Arabidopsis thaliana: one gene and its partners. The protein of the gene in region 1 interacts with the protein of each later gene in a pairwise test. Each region holds a gene or a part of one and is shown on either strand. Other genes may lie near its edges.

What was found. The genes of interacting proteins can lie anywhere in the genome.
Region 2: the proteins of OFP12 (region 1) and ATCTH interact in a two-hybrid assay, tested with the Arabidopsis thaliana proteins (one large-scale study listed by BioGRID).
Region 3: the proteins of OFP12 (region 1) and COL4 interact in a two-hybrid assay, tested with the Arabidopsis thaliana proteins (one large-scale study listed by BioGRID).

What each region holds. Positions count from the first base shown.
Region 1 is NC_003070.9:1,587,373-1,592,558, forward strand, and holds OFP12 (ovate family protein 12), read left to right. Parts: upstream 1-2,600; 5' UTR 2,601-2,652; coding exon 2,653-3,381; 3' UTR 3,382-3,640; downstream 3,641-5,186. UniProt on the Arabidopsis thaliana protein: Transcriptional repressor that regulates multiple aspects of plant growth and development through the regulation of BEL1-LIKE (BLH) and KNOX TALE (KNAT) homeodomain transcription factors.
Region 2 is NC_003071.7:11,038,493-11,044,237, forward strand, and holds ATCTH (Zinc finger C-x8-C-x5-C-x3-H type family protein), read left to right. Parts: upstream 1-2,838; 5' UTR 2,839-2,981; intron 2,982-3,073; 5' UTR 3,074-3,324; coding exon 3,325-4,272; 3' UTR 4,273-4,764; downstream 4,765-5,745.
Region 3 is NC_003076.8:8,586,644-8,591,930, forward strand, and holds COL4 (zinc finger CONSTANS-like protein), read left to right. Parts: upstream 1-2,813; coding exon 2,814-3,557; intron 3,558-3,961; coding exon 3,962-4,306; downstream 4,307-5,287. Other genes in the region: AT5G24940 (Protein phosphatase 2C family protein), read right to left, coding at 4,764-5,287.

The sequences.
Region 1 (5,186 bases):
CAGTTCCTATACACACAAGAGAAAAGGCTCAGCTACAAAACTAATTTTCAATTTCTTAATCCAAACAGAACCAATATTGTCAAGAAAAAGACCCAAATTGAAACGCATGCATAATATTTGTTTAAGAGCAAAACGAGTTTCGATTTCACGGTGAAGCAGAAACTGCAAATCAGGCAAACGGAATCCATTAAAACCGACGAGGAAAGGAAGAAGAGAAACGTACAATCTCCAGAGACTTCAAGACTGATTAATTTCAGAAGATCTCAACGATAGTTACTTCTTTCTTGGCCATGAAAACCTGGAGCTTTAAAACGACAATGGTTGATGCTAGGGCCGAAGTAGGGGCCTTGGGAAGAACAAGAACTCGAAATTCGGAGGAACCAAAGTTTTATTGTAGGGTTTGAGCGAAGATCAAAAACATCAATGTATCAAACATTTCACATTTCAATCATTGGGCCTTCTTGGGCCTATCTTTAAAAAGCCCGGGTCGGGTCGGAGTAATAAACAGTAACCGGCTTGGTTCACAGGGATTGGTGGGTCCATGACAAAATTGTAACATTGCAATCAGGCAGTATTTTGGAGAGTTTGAAAACGATATTGAATGTGACAGTGTCTTATGACAAGAGATATCTACAATGGAGTTTTATGTGAGTCTGATGTTCACACTCGAAAACTTTCACAAGTTGAAGAATCATGTGATTTTGTATCTTGATGTCAATGTTTCCCATTCATGGAGCTTTTGTCGACAAGTTTTGACATGTCCCTACAATATAGCAACAACACTTGTGTGACATAGATATTGAAAGAGAGATAGATATACCCATTCGCATTTTTATAAGATTCCTCTTGTGATAAATCCAATGAAACTATATGATGATTTCAAAATAATACAAAAATAGAAATTGATCTCAATGTACCTTCCAAAGAAAAATGACAACGTGTGGGGCTAAAAATTGCTGTACCATCATATCTGACACCTTGATTCCATTTTTTTTTTATACACCAAACAATGAGTAGAGCATAAAGGCCTTTCGTATTACAAGCATTTATTACTTACCATATTTAAAATAAAAAAACTTACCATATTATTGTCGATCTAGTATATATATATATATAGATCGATATTTCTACGTATAAATAGGGCGATGTTGTGTGACATGTCTCTCAGTCACCACTTTTGGCGGGTTCTCGTCGACAGAGATTGATCAAATCTAATTATTATTGTTGATGATAGAAAGTTGTCATGCATAGATTTCTCAAGCGAGAATATTCATTAATATAGGATTCTCATTTTTTAATTCTTCGCTCTGAAGTTGTAACCTAGTAGCTTGTACTAGGTACATGCCATGTTGTAACATTGGTTAGATATTTGTAAATTTTAGAGGCTTTAAATGCAAAAGATTATATTCGGACTACTCGATCATAAATTTTGGTCTAGTAATCTGCTTGAACATTGATTTTGCGGAGCAATTCTTGATGAGAAGCAATTTTATGATTTTATCCCAAAACTAATCGCGACATGATCATTCGGTGAATTTGTTGCTAGGAGAAACAATGGTCTAAGATAAACTGAAAAAGGGAAGAGAACAAATATTAGTTAAGATTGATCAATGAGAAGTGAAGTGAGTCAGTGTACTTTGCACAAACATCGATCTTTCGTCTTTGAGTCATGAGATGGCCAGTTTAGGTTAGTCCAAACATTGCCTCCTCGTGAGTTCTTGCTGTATATATTTGCAAGGACAATAATTCCTCTTATTTGGCGTTAATTTATTTATTATGTCTAGAGTTCGTAAATGAATTGAAGAAAATTATTTACTAAACAATAAAGGTTTTGCTCTCCCCGCAGAATTTTTGCCTATGACATTAAGAAAAAAAAAGCGTGAAAATATAAAGATAAACAGTACAATTTTGGATTATATTGTTGAAGTTTACTCATATAATTTGTATATGTTGATAATGGAGAAAACATATAAATATTTGCATGTCCGTATATAACCTTATTTCCCTTCTATCAAATCTAAGAAAAAAAACAAATACTTTACGCGTAGGCGCTTTTTCATGTTTAAAGTTTCGATTACCATCAAGATTTGCTTTTTGAGTCATTTTACCTTATACTATATACGACAAAAACTCGTAAATTACCCTCTTATTGTATTTAATTAATTGAAATTTCTAATTCACATTTAAGATATTAATATTTTAATTTATTTTATCAAGATTGTATATTAATAATAAAATAGAAATTTTCATTGTCAACAATAAATATGAATTTTATATCAAATATGTTAAAAATTTAGTTTTAAGTGATATATAACCATTTTCAAGAAAACAAATCTATAAAAAAAAAAGTGTATGAATTACTGAAAGTTGGTATAACTTAAAACCTTCAAACGAACAGACAAAAAACTAAGATGACCGTTAATAATAAGATACTTTTGTAGATCTGTATATTATACAAACAAAATAAGTAAAAATAAGAATTAAAATTATTTTGGTCTTAAGATTCACAGCAAAGCACGATGCATTGTGTAAATATAATACATTATACAAATACATGGTGGTACGTATATAATATAAATATTTGTACATATAAATACAAGCATGATACAATAATAGTATCAAAACAAATTAAGACAACCTAGCTAAATCCACATGCTCAATACATATTCTCTCACTCTCTTTCTCACAAAAACAAAAACAATGCCAAGAGTCATGTGGAAAAACTTCCATCTTTGCTTCCCATCAAATCTCACCAAGCCCTCTTCATCTCCGTCCGGTGCCACCTCCGACGATCCCAACCGTCCATCCATTCTTCTCATCAACAACTTTAACCTCCTATATGACGACTCCTCCGCCGCCCACCGCCGCCTATCCAAGCCTCTTATCCACGACGTTGAACCCTCTTCCACCTTCACCGCCTCCACCTCCACCGCAGCTAACTCTTCTTCCTCCTCTGCCTCTTATGATGATTCCGATAATTACGGTTTTGCCCCTGACGACGACTCTCCCCCTCCTGACTTAACCGCCGTTTTAGCCTCCCGCCGCTTCTTCTTCTCTTCTCCTGGCTGCTCAAACTCAATCACTGACTCGCCAGATCTCCGCTGCCGGGATAATTACGATACTGCCACTAGGCTTCTTACCGGAGGAACCGCCGTGAAACACTACGTGCAATCTCCTGATCCGTACAACGACTTCCGACGATCAATGCAGGAGATGATCGACGCCGTTACAAACGCCGGAGATCTTCGCCGTTACGAGTTCTTGCATGAGCTGTTACTCAGTTACCTCTCTTTAAATGCCGCCGATACACACAAGTTCATTATCAGAGCTTTCGCCGACATTCTCGTCTCTCTCCTATCGGACGGTCACCGGATCAGCTGAGCTGACGTGGCATATATATATTTATTCTCTCTTCATGTTATGTAAAAAGTAACACATGTTATTTATTTTTGTAATGCGTTACTTAGGACAAATAATCAGAACTAAAGTTAATGTAATTATTTTGTAATGATACGATTGAGAAAGTCGAGAGAGGCGTGGGTTTTTGTCTCGATCGCATGCAGTTAGATTCTTCTTTTAATTTGTTTCTATTTTTGTCTTTTTACCCTTTTAAATTAAATAAATTAAATGTTCTGGAGTATATATGGTGAAACTTAAATCATTGATTGGGAAGTTATAGTTCAATTTAACATATTGATGATAAAAAATAGACTTAATTTATACTTTCCGAAATGCATCTCTAGAAGTATATATTAAGAGACGGAAACCCATGGCTTCATTATAAACTTAAAAGTGAAAATTTATTTTGGTTTAAATCATTAAATACACGAACGAAACTTATGAGTTGAAGAAAATTTGTAATGGGTAAAAGCTGAATTGTGATAACTAACAACATTACAATTTTGCTGATTAATTACCAACAAAATAATAATTGTCTAATTGGTATGATGTATGATTGTTAAAAGTTTGTCTTTTGGAGAAACTACCAAGAAAACGCTCGGATTAGTGCCATGACAAACAATGAAAAAGCTACGTCGACTGACAATTGGTACTATTTCTTCTTCTTTCGTAACGTCTCAAATTATGTTTGACATGTATATCGAAGATTGACTTTCTTCTGCTTTTCTTGATGTTCTCACTTTACATCCATATCAAAACAAATTATTTAATCGAAAAACTGTATATGATAAAATTTACATCGATTTATATAGTTTTATTCAGATATTTTAGCCAATGCCATGATTTCTTTTATACGTTGGGGTTTATGCTATTTGGCCAAGATTCATATAGCGTATTAGTTATCTAAAACGCAAGAAGCGCATTAAAATATTGCCAAGTTAGGGAATGGTGCATGATAGACTAAATATATTAACAATAGGTATTCAAATTTAGCTAATGTTGAGATCTATTGTTGTAGGTGATTCTTTCCATGAGATATTTCACATAACACAAGGTGAGACAAAAACAAAATAGGAGAATCCTAAGAGACGGATGTTGGCCGAAGCCTCAACCAATATTATAACAAAGCTATTTTCATCATTAATATTATATATAACATTTTGCTCACATCCCTGATTCATATTCGCAGGACACGACCAACAACAATAAATAGTGTATGAAATAGGGACTGAGACAGTTAATCATTTACTACACTAGAGATTAGAAATCTCAAGGTTTTCAGATAGATATTAAAACAGGCCTTTGATTGCTTCTTCACTCACCATGGCAGCAGCATTCTCCGGATAAGAATCAAGGAGAGCTTCAACATTGGGGATTAAACCGCCTCATCGTCTTTGTCCACGGCTACAATATCATTGGGGGTAATAAAGCGTTGAAGCTGCTTGAAAAATAAACTGACACACAGAGATAGAGAGAGATAGAGGAACACGGTCGCCAAATCGTTTCGATCGCAAATACAACTCTTTCAGTATCATAGATAATTGTGGCCAAATATATAACTTTTGGGTTCTACGCAAAGAGTTAGATGAATTTTAAGGAAACAGTGAGAGATAAAGAACGAGAAATTTACGTAAGAGAAATAATAAGCAGAGTTGGTTGGATGATCTCGATAATCGACTAGGGGTTTCTAAATCACTTATTGAATACATACGCCGATGTTTCCCGCCCGCAAAGAAATTTATATTATTAGGTGGGGCTGAGAATGGGCTTCGCTTTAATGCGCTTAG
Region 2 (5,745 bases), on another chromosome or scaffold:
ATGAATGTGGTTTTTAGGTACTCATGAAATAATTGAAAACTTTACTTGTCTATATGTTCGTAAACCATTGGCATTGAATTGCATGGCATGGCTTACTATGCGCGCACCAACAAAATGCACATGCATGCTTCACGAACGTATAAAGAAGCTGAGGGTGGACAACATTCACTGCTTGTAGTGGGCAATGCAGTCTTGTAGAGCAGTTGTACTTTCAAACGAGGTTCTTTGTCAACGTCTGATTGGTTTTCTAGAATAATTGAAGGAGTACTTTTGTCCTTATCCTCGCAATGGACTGAGTAAGTTTCCTCCGCGGTTCCCTACTGGCCATGAGCTATGAATTTTTCAAGTGGTGGGTGCCAGGTGCCGGGTGGGTGCGGCGTTAGGATTATTCCTAAAGTTGAGGATCGATATACGGTTAAGTTTTTTTGTTATGGAGTGGTGTTTCGTAGTTTGTCATTGCATCAGTTTGATAATCTCTTTCTTCTAGCACCAGATTGTTTAGATAAATGTTAGGATATATGTGGAAGCAAAGGAATGATGTGGTTCACAACCAAGTCTCGATCCCAATATCAACTATCTTCAAGCTCATCGACAAAGAGATTCAGAACGTAAGCACCGCAAGACGTAAATGCAAGCGTTATTGCAACCTAATGCAAACTCTGGTTAATTTTAACTCCCACTATGTAATGTGACTTCTACATCATTTGTCTCTTTGTTTAATTTTTTGGCCAAAGATTCAAATCCATTGATATTCAGAGACAATAGTCTATATGGATTTATTAGATATAGTCTATATGGACTTATTAGATGATATTAACATTCATAGAGAAAACAACAAATTAGGATACGTTTTCTTTCTAATGAGAAAGTGAATGTACGAATGGTTGTTGGGAGGCTATTGTGTCTCGTAGATATTTTAAATAATTTGAATGTTTACTAATATAGAATGTGTATTCAATTATAACTATTTAAATTATTTTATTGTTGGTTTAGACGCATTCTTAAACTTTCACATCATTCTCTCGTGACTATTATAATAGTTATCGTGCTCGATCAATCATCTCGTGACTATTATAATTTTATCAATAGTTTATGCATAAGAGAACTGATAACGATCATACTTCTTTTTGTCATTATGATAGCTTATGATTAATCATTGTTTATCCATACTTGACGCTTGTAAGTGAAACATATGTTTAAATTTTCAGGCTTAATTTAATAGCCACGAACCAAAAATTATCTTATAATAAAAGTTTGGTGCGATTTAAGAAGATTTGTCCCCAAAGCCCTATCTGAAAGAGGTCAAATTGGATTATTAAATTCAACATATTAATCAATTTGATATTTGTTTAATGGTCTGATTAGTGACAATTATAAGTCTAATATTGCGAATCTTTTGCAGTGAGTATTCCACGTGATATAGATAAGTTTCCCTTAATGGATAACCTTTGCATCAAACAATTAGAAAACAAATGGAAGAGTATCAATCAAGTAGATCTCGAAGCAGTGGACCCTAACACGATACTGGAACATGGACCAAACCTTAAAATATCGTCCAAATTGCTTATTTTCTGGAAGGTTACAAGTGCACAACACTCTAATAATATATGCCCCGCATAACAATTTTTAAAACTATTTCATCTTAGACCTCGGATATTTTGAAGGAAGCACATTTTCTTGAAAATCACTAGGTGACTTGTGTTTCTTTCTTTGGAGCATGTCAATTTACTCCCATCAGCTGGAGAGCCAAAAGTTAAAATTAATGTTCGAAATTTATTTCATAAAAGCTACGTACGTTGCATCCTTCCATGATCTAGAAAAAATGGGGGACAATAACCAAATTTATTCACTCTTGTCAGGTCATGGGGAGTAGTCTACGACCTTGAAAGTCACGTGACAAGTAATATATACTGTACCGTCCAAATATTTTCTTACTGTAATGTCTTATGTTTCATATCGCTAGACCCTTAATATTAGTGTGGACTAATTCATATAATTGCAAATAAAATAGTATGATTCTACGATTCTTCAAAATGATCTAATAGTTACAGTCTGGTCAAAATGATCTAAATCTTTATAAACAAATAACAGCTACGGAATAATTAACACAATTTTTGGTGATAAACTTTGAGTTATGATAGAAATTTTTTTTTTTTCAATTTTTAATGTGTATCTTAATTTCTTCAATTAATGTATCCCTATGTTTTATGTGACTATATAACTTTTGGTTAGTGATACTCCAAAAATGTTGTTTTAGGTTTTGACACACATATTAATAATTTGTTTTATTTTTTACTTTACAAAATTTCTTATTGGTTAAAACATAAATCACTGCAAATAAAACTTTAATTTTGTTTGTAGTCAAAATTAGCTTTTAAAAATGTAAATTGATATTTATTCTAATTATTTTTTTAATGTTCTGACAATTAATTTAAAACGGAAAGCGTAATAAAGTAGATGTTGGGGCTGATTGGTAACGGCTGTTACTTTTGAACTCTAAATATTTCGGATGTTACGACTTTGACTGTAAAAATTTTGGTTGTAAAAATTTTGACGATAGAAACTTTAACTGTTAAAGTCTGATTGGTACAAAAAAATCACAATTATTTTTATTATTATTTAATATTTTTTATAAATATTATTTATGCTAAAAAATCAATTTATTTGGTAAAATAGTAACTAAAATAAATTTATTTTAAAAAAATACAAAATTCATTTTACAAATTCACTATTTTAAATATTTAAATTGGATCTGAAAAGAACAGAAAAAATAAAATTCGAATTAATCAATCGATTTTTTAATGATAAAATATAAATAAATTTGAAAAGAGTTTTGAAATTTTATGGATAAAGAAAAAATATTTTTATTTTGTTTTATTATTCTCTTTTAAAGTTAAAGACTTTAGGAAAAAAACAAAAGAAAAAAAGTAAATGGAGAGAAAAAAGCTTTTAAAACTTTAAAAATTAATAAAGTTTTAAAAGTGTGATTGATTAAAAAATAAATTTGAAAATTTTTAAATATTTTTAAAGCTTTGAAAACATTTTTTTTTTTTTTGGGGGGACAAATATGAAGAAAAAAAAAAAAAAAAAAAGACGAACATGAAGGGGAAAAAAACAAAAGACGAACAAAAATTGGAGATTTTTTCTTACACGTGTCATCATCTGCAGATTTGCGCTTATTAATTGTTTACCGTACGGTATTGTGGATAGGGTCAAGATTTTCATAACTTTACCGTAGTTAATATTTGACCCAACCATGGTTAAAATAAAGCAGTTTATATCACAGACACACACCTCTCTCTCTTCTAGACTCACTAAACAAAAATGATGATCGGCGAAAATAAAAACCGGCCACATCCAACGATCCATATCCCTCAATGGGATCAAATCAACGATCCAACGGCCACAATCTCTTCACCATTCTCTTCCGTCAACCTTAACAGCGTTAACGACTACCCACACTCTCCGTCACCGTATCTCGACTCCTTCGCTTCTCTCTTCCGTTACCTCCCGTCAAACGAGTTAACAAACGATTCAGACTCATCAAGTGGCGACGAGTCATCACCACTCACCGACTCATTCTCCTCCGACGAGTTTCGCATCTACGAGTTCAAAATCCGGCGATGCGCTCGAGGTCGATCTCATGATTGGACGGAGTGTCCGTTCGCACATCCCGGAGAAAAAGCTCGACGACGTGATCCGAGAAAGTTTCATTACTCCGGCACCGCTTGTCCTGAGTTTCGTAAAGGAAGTTGTAGAAGAGGTGATTCGTGTGAGTTCTCTCATGGAGTTTTCGAGTGTTGGCTCCATCCTTCTCGTTACCGTACTCAGCCGTGTAAAGACGGAACTAGCTGCCGGAGAAGAATCTGTTTCTTCGCTCATACGACGGAGCAGTTACGTGTATTACCTTGTTCGTTAGATCCAGATCTTGGATTCTTCTCAGGATTAGCTACTTCTCCGACTTCGATTCTTGTTTCTCCTTCGTTTTCACCACCGTCGGAATCTCCGCCGCTTTCTCCGAGTACCGGTGAACTTATTGCGTCGATGAGGAAAATGCAATTGAACGGAGGTGGTTGTTCGTGGAGTTCTCCGATGAGATCTGCAGTTAGGTTACCTTTTTCGTCGTCTCTGCGTCCGATTCAGGCGGCAACGTGGCCGAGGATAAGAGAGTTTGAGATCGAAGAAGCTCCGGCGATGGAATTTGTGGAATCTGGGAAAGAGCTGAGAGCGGAGATGTATGCAAGACTCAGTAGAGAGAACTCACTCGGTTGAGTCGACTTGGATCGAGTCTTTGATGACGTGGCGACTCGATCTGATTTTGTGAATATTTTAGAGATTTTTAAGGTGTTGTGGATAAATGACGTGGCGGGTCGATCTTAGTGACGGTACAATCGGACGATGAAGAAAAAAGCGTTAAGAGTAACAAAAAAAGGAAGAATTTGTAAAGAGATGATAATGAGAGAATTTGAGAGCTATTCTTCTGGCTTTTTTCTCTGCAGTTTTTTTTATTGTTTTCGTTATTTTCTTGTTTTTATTTTGGTTTTCGGCTTTATTTTGTTTGTTGTTTATTAATGTTATATCATTTTGTAATTAGTTCTCAAATGTATTTGGATAACATCTTAGTTTGAGACTTTAGAAAAGAACATTTCATTTGTTGTTTCCTTCTTATCGATTTCGTTGTTATAATAGTAAGAGGATATAAATATTTTTTGTTGGCCTGTTCTTTTTCCAAACGCTGCGATCATATCCAGCGACCAAAAAAACAGTTGCTTAACACACAATTACGTTGAAGTCTGTAGAAAGTTATGTGAAGAGGAGTCGCTCGATTTTAAAAACAGCGACCTATAAGGCATATACACGTGTCGCCAAAAAATAACAGCAACTTAACATTTTCACTAAGGACGCCGCCGGCGTCCATATTGAACGACTGTTTTTGTATCTCCGTTATAATTTTTGCTTTTCGTCGGAGTCCCTATTGCTGTCACAGCGATTAATAAACGAACAAGCCCAACAATTAATCAGAGAAAATAGTCTCGAGAAAATAACTCTCTTGCATCATATCTCTAATGAACATCAAATCTGCCTACAAATTCTATTTTTAAGTAAACATATTCCTTTTGACAAAAAAAAAAAACTATTTGGCTATTTCCAATGGTAGACTAGATCCACTCTGAAAATAGACTAATGACTAATGAATACTCATAATTTGGATAAAATTTTCATTTTCAGAATGATTTTCAAATTTAAATATGTTTTCAGTAATACACGAACAAATCTATATGTTTTAGGTATACATTGGGCATTTAATCAATACTAATATGGTTATCCAGTTAATTGAAATTTAAAAATACAACAATAATGTATTAAATTAAAAAATACAGTGACATAACAAACGATAATTTTATACATAATAAGTTATGAAATTTAACATAAAAACTCAAACAAACATAACAGAACATAGACTAGTAAACAGTTTTGTTTAAAAACTAATAACAAAAAAGAAATAGAATATGGTACACAAAAGAGAGTAATGGTAATCAATCCTATTTGCTTCGTGCAAATAGAGAGCATGAGACTCTTATTACTTACTTAGTTTGAGGAGAAAAGCTATGTTTTTTGTATTTTAATTATTAATTTTGAATAATGTATTGGTAGAACTTCTCTTATGAAATGAGATGTTTTTCTATTTTAATTTTCCTATTTATTGATTATGCTTTTTATATAATAGCTAATTTTTTAAAAAAC
Region 3 (5,287 bases), on another chromosome or scaffold:
GTTTTTGATTTTTGAAGTTTTTGATTTTTGTTGTGGATTTTAGTTTTTGCAAAATCAAGAATGGAAATTTTTTTATATTTTTTTTAACTCGAATGGAAATTTATATAATTTTTAATTTTTTTACTTAATCTTAATGTTTAAACATTTTTAAATTGTGTATTTTATCTTTGGATGAATTGATAAATGGTAAAAATAGCATAATTAAATAATAATAGTAAATTAAAAAAAAAGGGTTACGTAAATTGTTTTAAAAACCCACAAAACTTAGTTTTTAGATTCTATGAAGAAATAGCTAAAAACTCCTAAAATCTAGTTTTCCTATTTTTTAAAAAATCTACTTTTTGTAGAAGAATGAATGAGTAATTATTTAGTTTTTGCAAAATCAAAATAAAAAAACTACTTCAAAAATTGGAACCATTCAAGGCCTCAATCATTTGTCCATTTTTAATCTAAACGAAAAAACCCACTCCTTTCATTTGTTTCTTTAAATTTCTGCAATGTTTAATTTTTATTAAAACTTATGTTCGTTTCTTTCAAGTCATCTAGTTTAAGAATAGTACAAGAGCACAGTACGAGTGTACGACACGATCAATTTATGTTTTTTCACTTTATAGTTTTGCTCGTAACTCATATTTATTGATGATGACTCGACTCCCATGGTTTTTGCCGCCGGCATGCTTTTATGGGTTGGGAAAAAATAAGTAATTTGAGAAAGATGATGTCATAATATGGACATGTGTCCGTTCACAGATTGGCTTCAAAGAGTTTCAATATGTTTGACTTTGGAACAGTTGTATGAATTTGCTCTATTTGCTGCAACTACCTGACGCGGCGATGCGACTCTGCCTACATCATAACTCATAATTAATGCAACGCTCATTTGAATCAAACTTTCACAAATCAATACGGTTACACATTTTTCATGATGTATGATTCTGACACTTTCAATATTGTTTTTTTTTCTTTTTCTAATTAAGAGTTTTGATAATCACTCCTAATTTTTATTTTCATTTTAATTATTTAAGTTTCAATTATTATCATGCTTATATATTTCTATTTTTTTTTAATTTAATAATGTCAAATCAAATTTACTTTTGAAGTTTTAAATTTTATTAGTTGGTCAGACACAACACAACATAAAATTTATTTTGAGAAAACCAAGAGTACAAGATGTAATGTTTAAAATCGTGGTAGAAGTTTGATTTATGGAGAAAAGAAAAAGAGTTTTCATAAGAAAGTGAAATTTTTCATTTTATTTCATTATCAAAGCCTAAAATAAATGACGATTCTCTTCACTTTCTCATAAATACTCTTTTTTTCTTTTTTCTTTTTGCAGAAATCAGTCCACCGCGATTTTCAAAATCTTCATCTTGTACTCTCAATTCTTTTATTGCCTGTTGTGTTCTGTCTAGTTCTGATTTATGCTTAACTAATAAAATTTCCAAAAAAATTGATTTGACACAATTAAATCAGAATAATAGAGAAATGAGAAGCATGATAAATGAATCTTAGATAATTCAAAATAAATAAAAAAAAAATAAATAAATAATCTAAAATACTAAAATTACAACAAATTATTAGTAAAAAAAGAAGCATATATTGGTTTTACATATATATATATTTTATACATGTCAAAATCTGATCAATAGATATAATATGCGAGTTACTAATTTTGAAATAAGTCTTTATTTATATTGTAATAAGGATAGTAAAAATTTATAAGGTCTTATCCTGGAGTTATGTGTGGAATAGTTACGGTGCAGTTAACCATGAAATTTTGAAGAGGTATTTTTGATGACTATCTAGAGGGCGTTGATTTCTTTGTTGATAAAAAAAGAAATAAGTTTATGTGAAACCAGTGAGTTTGTGTTGTGACTTTTAGCAAATTGAGAAATAAAGTTATTGGGCTGAAATAAGCATTTTAGTGAACAACAAAACACATACATGCAGAATATATCAGTAATAACTAGAAACCAATGGTCCACATAAGGCCCATATTCAGCCCACTAGTGACCGACCTACCCACCGGCCATTTACTTTATCCTCGCTAGTCACAGTATCGTTTCCATTTAAGTTTGCTCCTCATGGTGGTGGTCCTAAAACTCATCTACCCATACTTCTTCACCACTTTTTTCATTTTATTTTGCAATAGAACCACTCTCTGTGTCAGCTTATGGATTTGAATGGTTACGACGGTTGGGGCGAACAAAACCGTCAATGGATCAGATCGTTTTTTGTTTTATCATTCATCAAAAATAGTCCGCAGTGGTCCGGACCAAAAAAAATAGAAGAAAACCGCTGCGGACCATCTGCAGACCGTTTTTACATACAAATAAACTTGGTTTACAGCGATTTATAGTCCGCCCCAAAAATGAGATGGAGTAAACCGCAGACAAATTAGACCGCTTTGTCCGCTGCCTCCATTCATAACCTATAAATCATATAAAAAAGTTCGTAGACAAATTTGCTACGCATCATTTGCTAAAATAAAACACCTGTTGCCAAATGTCGACGATCCAGAATTATGATTACAAGTATCATCATCATACGATTACAATTATATAAAGAAATAAAGAACACACAGAACTATAATGCCAAGTAATTTCATCAGAAATAAAATTACGTTGTTTGGCTAAGATTTTACCACGTGTCAACTTTTCATTCGATCTAGATGGATACCCATGGACCCCACATGGATAGACTCATTGACACGCTCATGTGAAGCCAATAGTAACACCAACCACAAAAGAAAGAGAGAGAGAGAGACACTGAAACATAGAGAGAAGAAAAAGAAGAGGTTTAGAGAGAGAAAAATGGCGTCAAAGCTCTGCGATTCGTGCAAATCAGCGACGGCGGCGTTATACTGCCGACCAGACGCAGCGTTTCTATGCTTAAGCTGCGATTCAAAAGTCCACGCGGCGAACAAACTCGCGTCACGACACGCGCGCGTGTGGATGTGTGAAGTGTGCGAGCAAGCACCGGCACACGTCACGTGCAAAGCAGACGCGGCCGCGTTATGCGTCACGTGCGACCGTGATATCCACTCGGCTAATCCGTTAGCTCGCCGTCACGAACGCGTTCCCGTTACTCCGTTTTACGATTCCGTCTCTAGTGACGGTTCCGTTAAACACACCGCCGTTAATTTCCTTGACGACTGTTACTTCTCCGATATAGATGGTAACGGAAGCCGTGAAGAAGAGGAGGAAGAAGCTGCTTCGTGGCTGTTACTTCCCAATCCAAAGACTACAACGACGGCGACGGCGGGGATCGTTGCTGTTACTTCAGCTGAGGAAGTTCCGGGAGATAGTCCGGAGATGAACACTGGTCAACAGTATTTGTTCTCGGATCCGGATCCGTATCTGGATCTGGATTATGGAAATGTTGATCCGAAGGTGGAATCGTTAGAGCAGAATAGCTCCGGTACTGATGGTGTTGTTCCGGTGGAGAATCGGACGGTTAGGATTCCGACGGTGAACGAGAATTGCTTTGAAATGGATTTTACCGGAGGATCTAAAGGCTTTACTTATGGTGGTGGTTACAATTGCATCAGTCACAGCGTAAGCTTAATGTTCTTTAATCACAGTGATTAATTTAATTGATTATGTTTGATTAACAATTATTTATCAATTTTTAACGAAAAAGTTTAGATCTTTAGGGTTTAGACTTTTGATGATACTTAAAATTATTAATTTATTGGGAAGTAATGATTGGCTGACTAAAATTTAGGGTTATGCGAGCAACATGTGTAAATTAATCTGTAATTAGAAGAAATATTATGATAATCCTTAATTTAAGTATCTAATTATGTATTAATCAAAGAATTTTGGTGTCTTCTTTTTCATTTGTTTTGTTTAATCTAGTGTAGATCTAATCATATTCACTTATAAGTTATAACCTATAGTATTTGTCAGTTTGATTGTACTTATTATAATGGCTTGATCCAATGGTTGGTGTAATTTAGGTGTCATCATCGTCGATGGAAGTGGGAGTGGTGCCAGATGGTGGTTCGGTGGCTGATGTATCGTATCCTTACGGTGGTCCTGCAACCAGTGGAGCTGATCCGGGGACACAGCGGGCTGTTCCGCTGACTTCAGCTGAGAGAGAAGCGAGGGTAATGAGGTACAGAGAGAAGAGGAAGAACAGGAAGTTTGAGAAGACTATAAGGTATGCTTCAAGGAAAGCGTATGCGGAAATGAGACCGAGAATCAAGGGACGGTTTGCGAAGCGGACGGATACAAATGAGAGCAATGATGTGGTTGGTCATGGTGGTATCTTTAGTGGGTTCGGACTTGTACCTACATTTTAGATATTGAGAGAGGGAGAGACTCTAAAATGGAAGATGGTGGGTGGTTTGGTGTTTGTTTTAGTAATAAGGTTTTTAACGAACGTTTAATTTAAACGAGTTTGTTTGTTTTTTGTTGATGAGTATTTTTAGTTGTTGTGGGCGATGAAGAGGAAGAGAAGTGAGTGGGTGGTGTTTAACTGTTTATAAGTAACTTGTTTTGTATATATCGTGATTTTGAATATGTTCTTGTTTATGTTATGTACTCAAACTATTTAGAATCAACAAGTTTACAAAATTTGGTACACTGCAAAAAGAAATTACATTGTTGAAGTTAAAGACCTCAGAAAAAAGGGTGACAAAGAGAAGAAACTTACATGAACGAGATAAATCAGTTTCGAGGCAAAATCTTTGGACACTAAATAGTTCAAAGTTAAATGAAGATGATACATTCATTTATCAAAAGAAGGTAGTGGACGTTTTAGTTAAAGATAGAGGGAGTTGTCTTTCTTGCGGCGGAATCACTATGAACTTTGATTGGTTTTCGATTCCTTTCACCCGTTGATCCGCTCTGTTCTGTTGCGGCCGGCTTCTTCGCAGTGCTACTGTCCAAGTCGTTGTGTACTGTGCTTTGCGTTTGATTAGGTACCTTGGCTGAACTCTTAGGCTCTGAGTCGCTGCGAATTTTGATTGGCATTTGACTCTTTTCCCCGGTTAAACCACTCTGTTCTGAAGAAACGCTGTGTCCTGTTGCTGTAGTCGCGATTGGTTTTTGGTTCGAGTTATCGGCACTTCTAGCTGCAATCGGCTTTTGGTTCAGGCTTTGACTGTCAGTGTTGCGGTCCAAGTCCTTGTTTACTGTGGTATGGTCTTGATTGGTTTCTTTGGCTGAGATCTTGTGGTCTGAGTCATTTCTAACAGCGGTTGGCACTTGATTTGCTTCCTCGGATGAGCTGGAACCGTTGTTGTTAGCTGACTTGCTCTCCAAGAAACGTACAACTACAC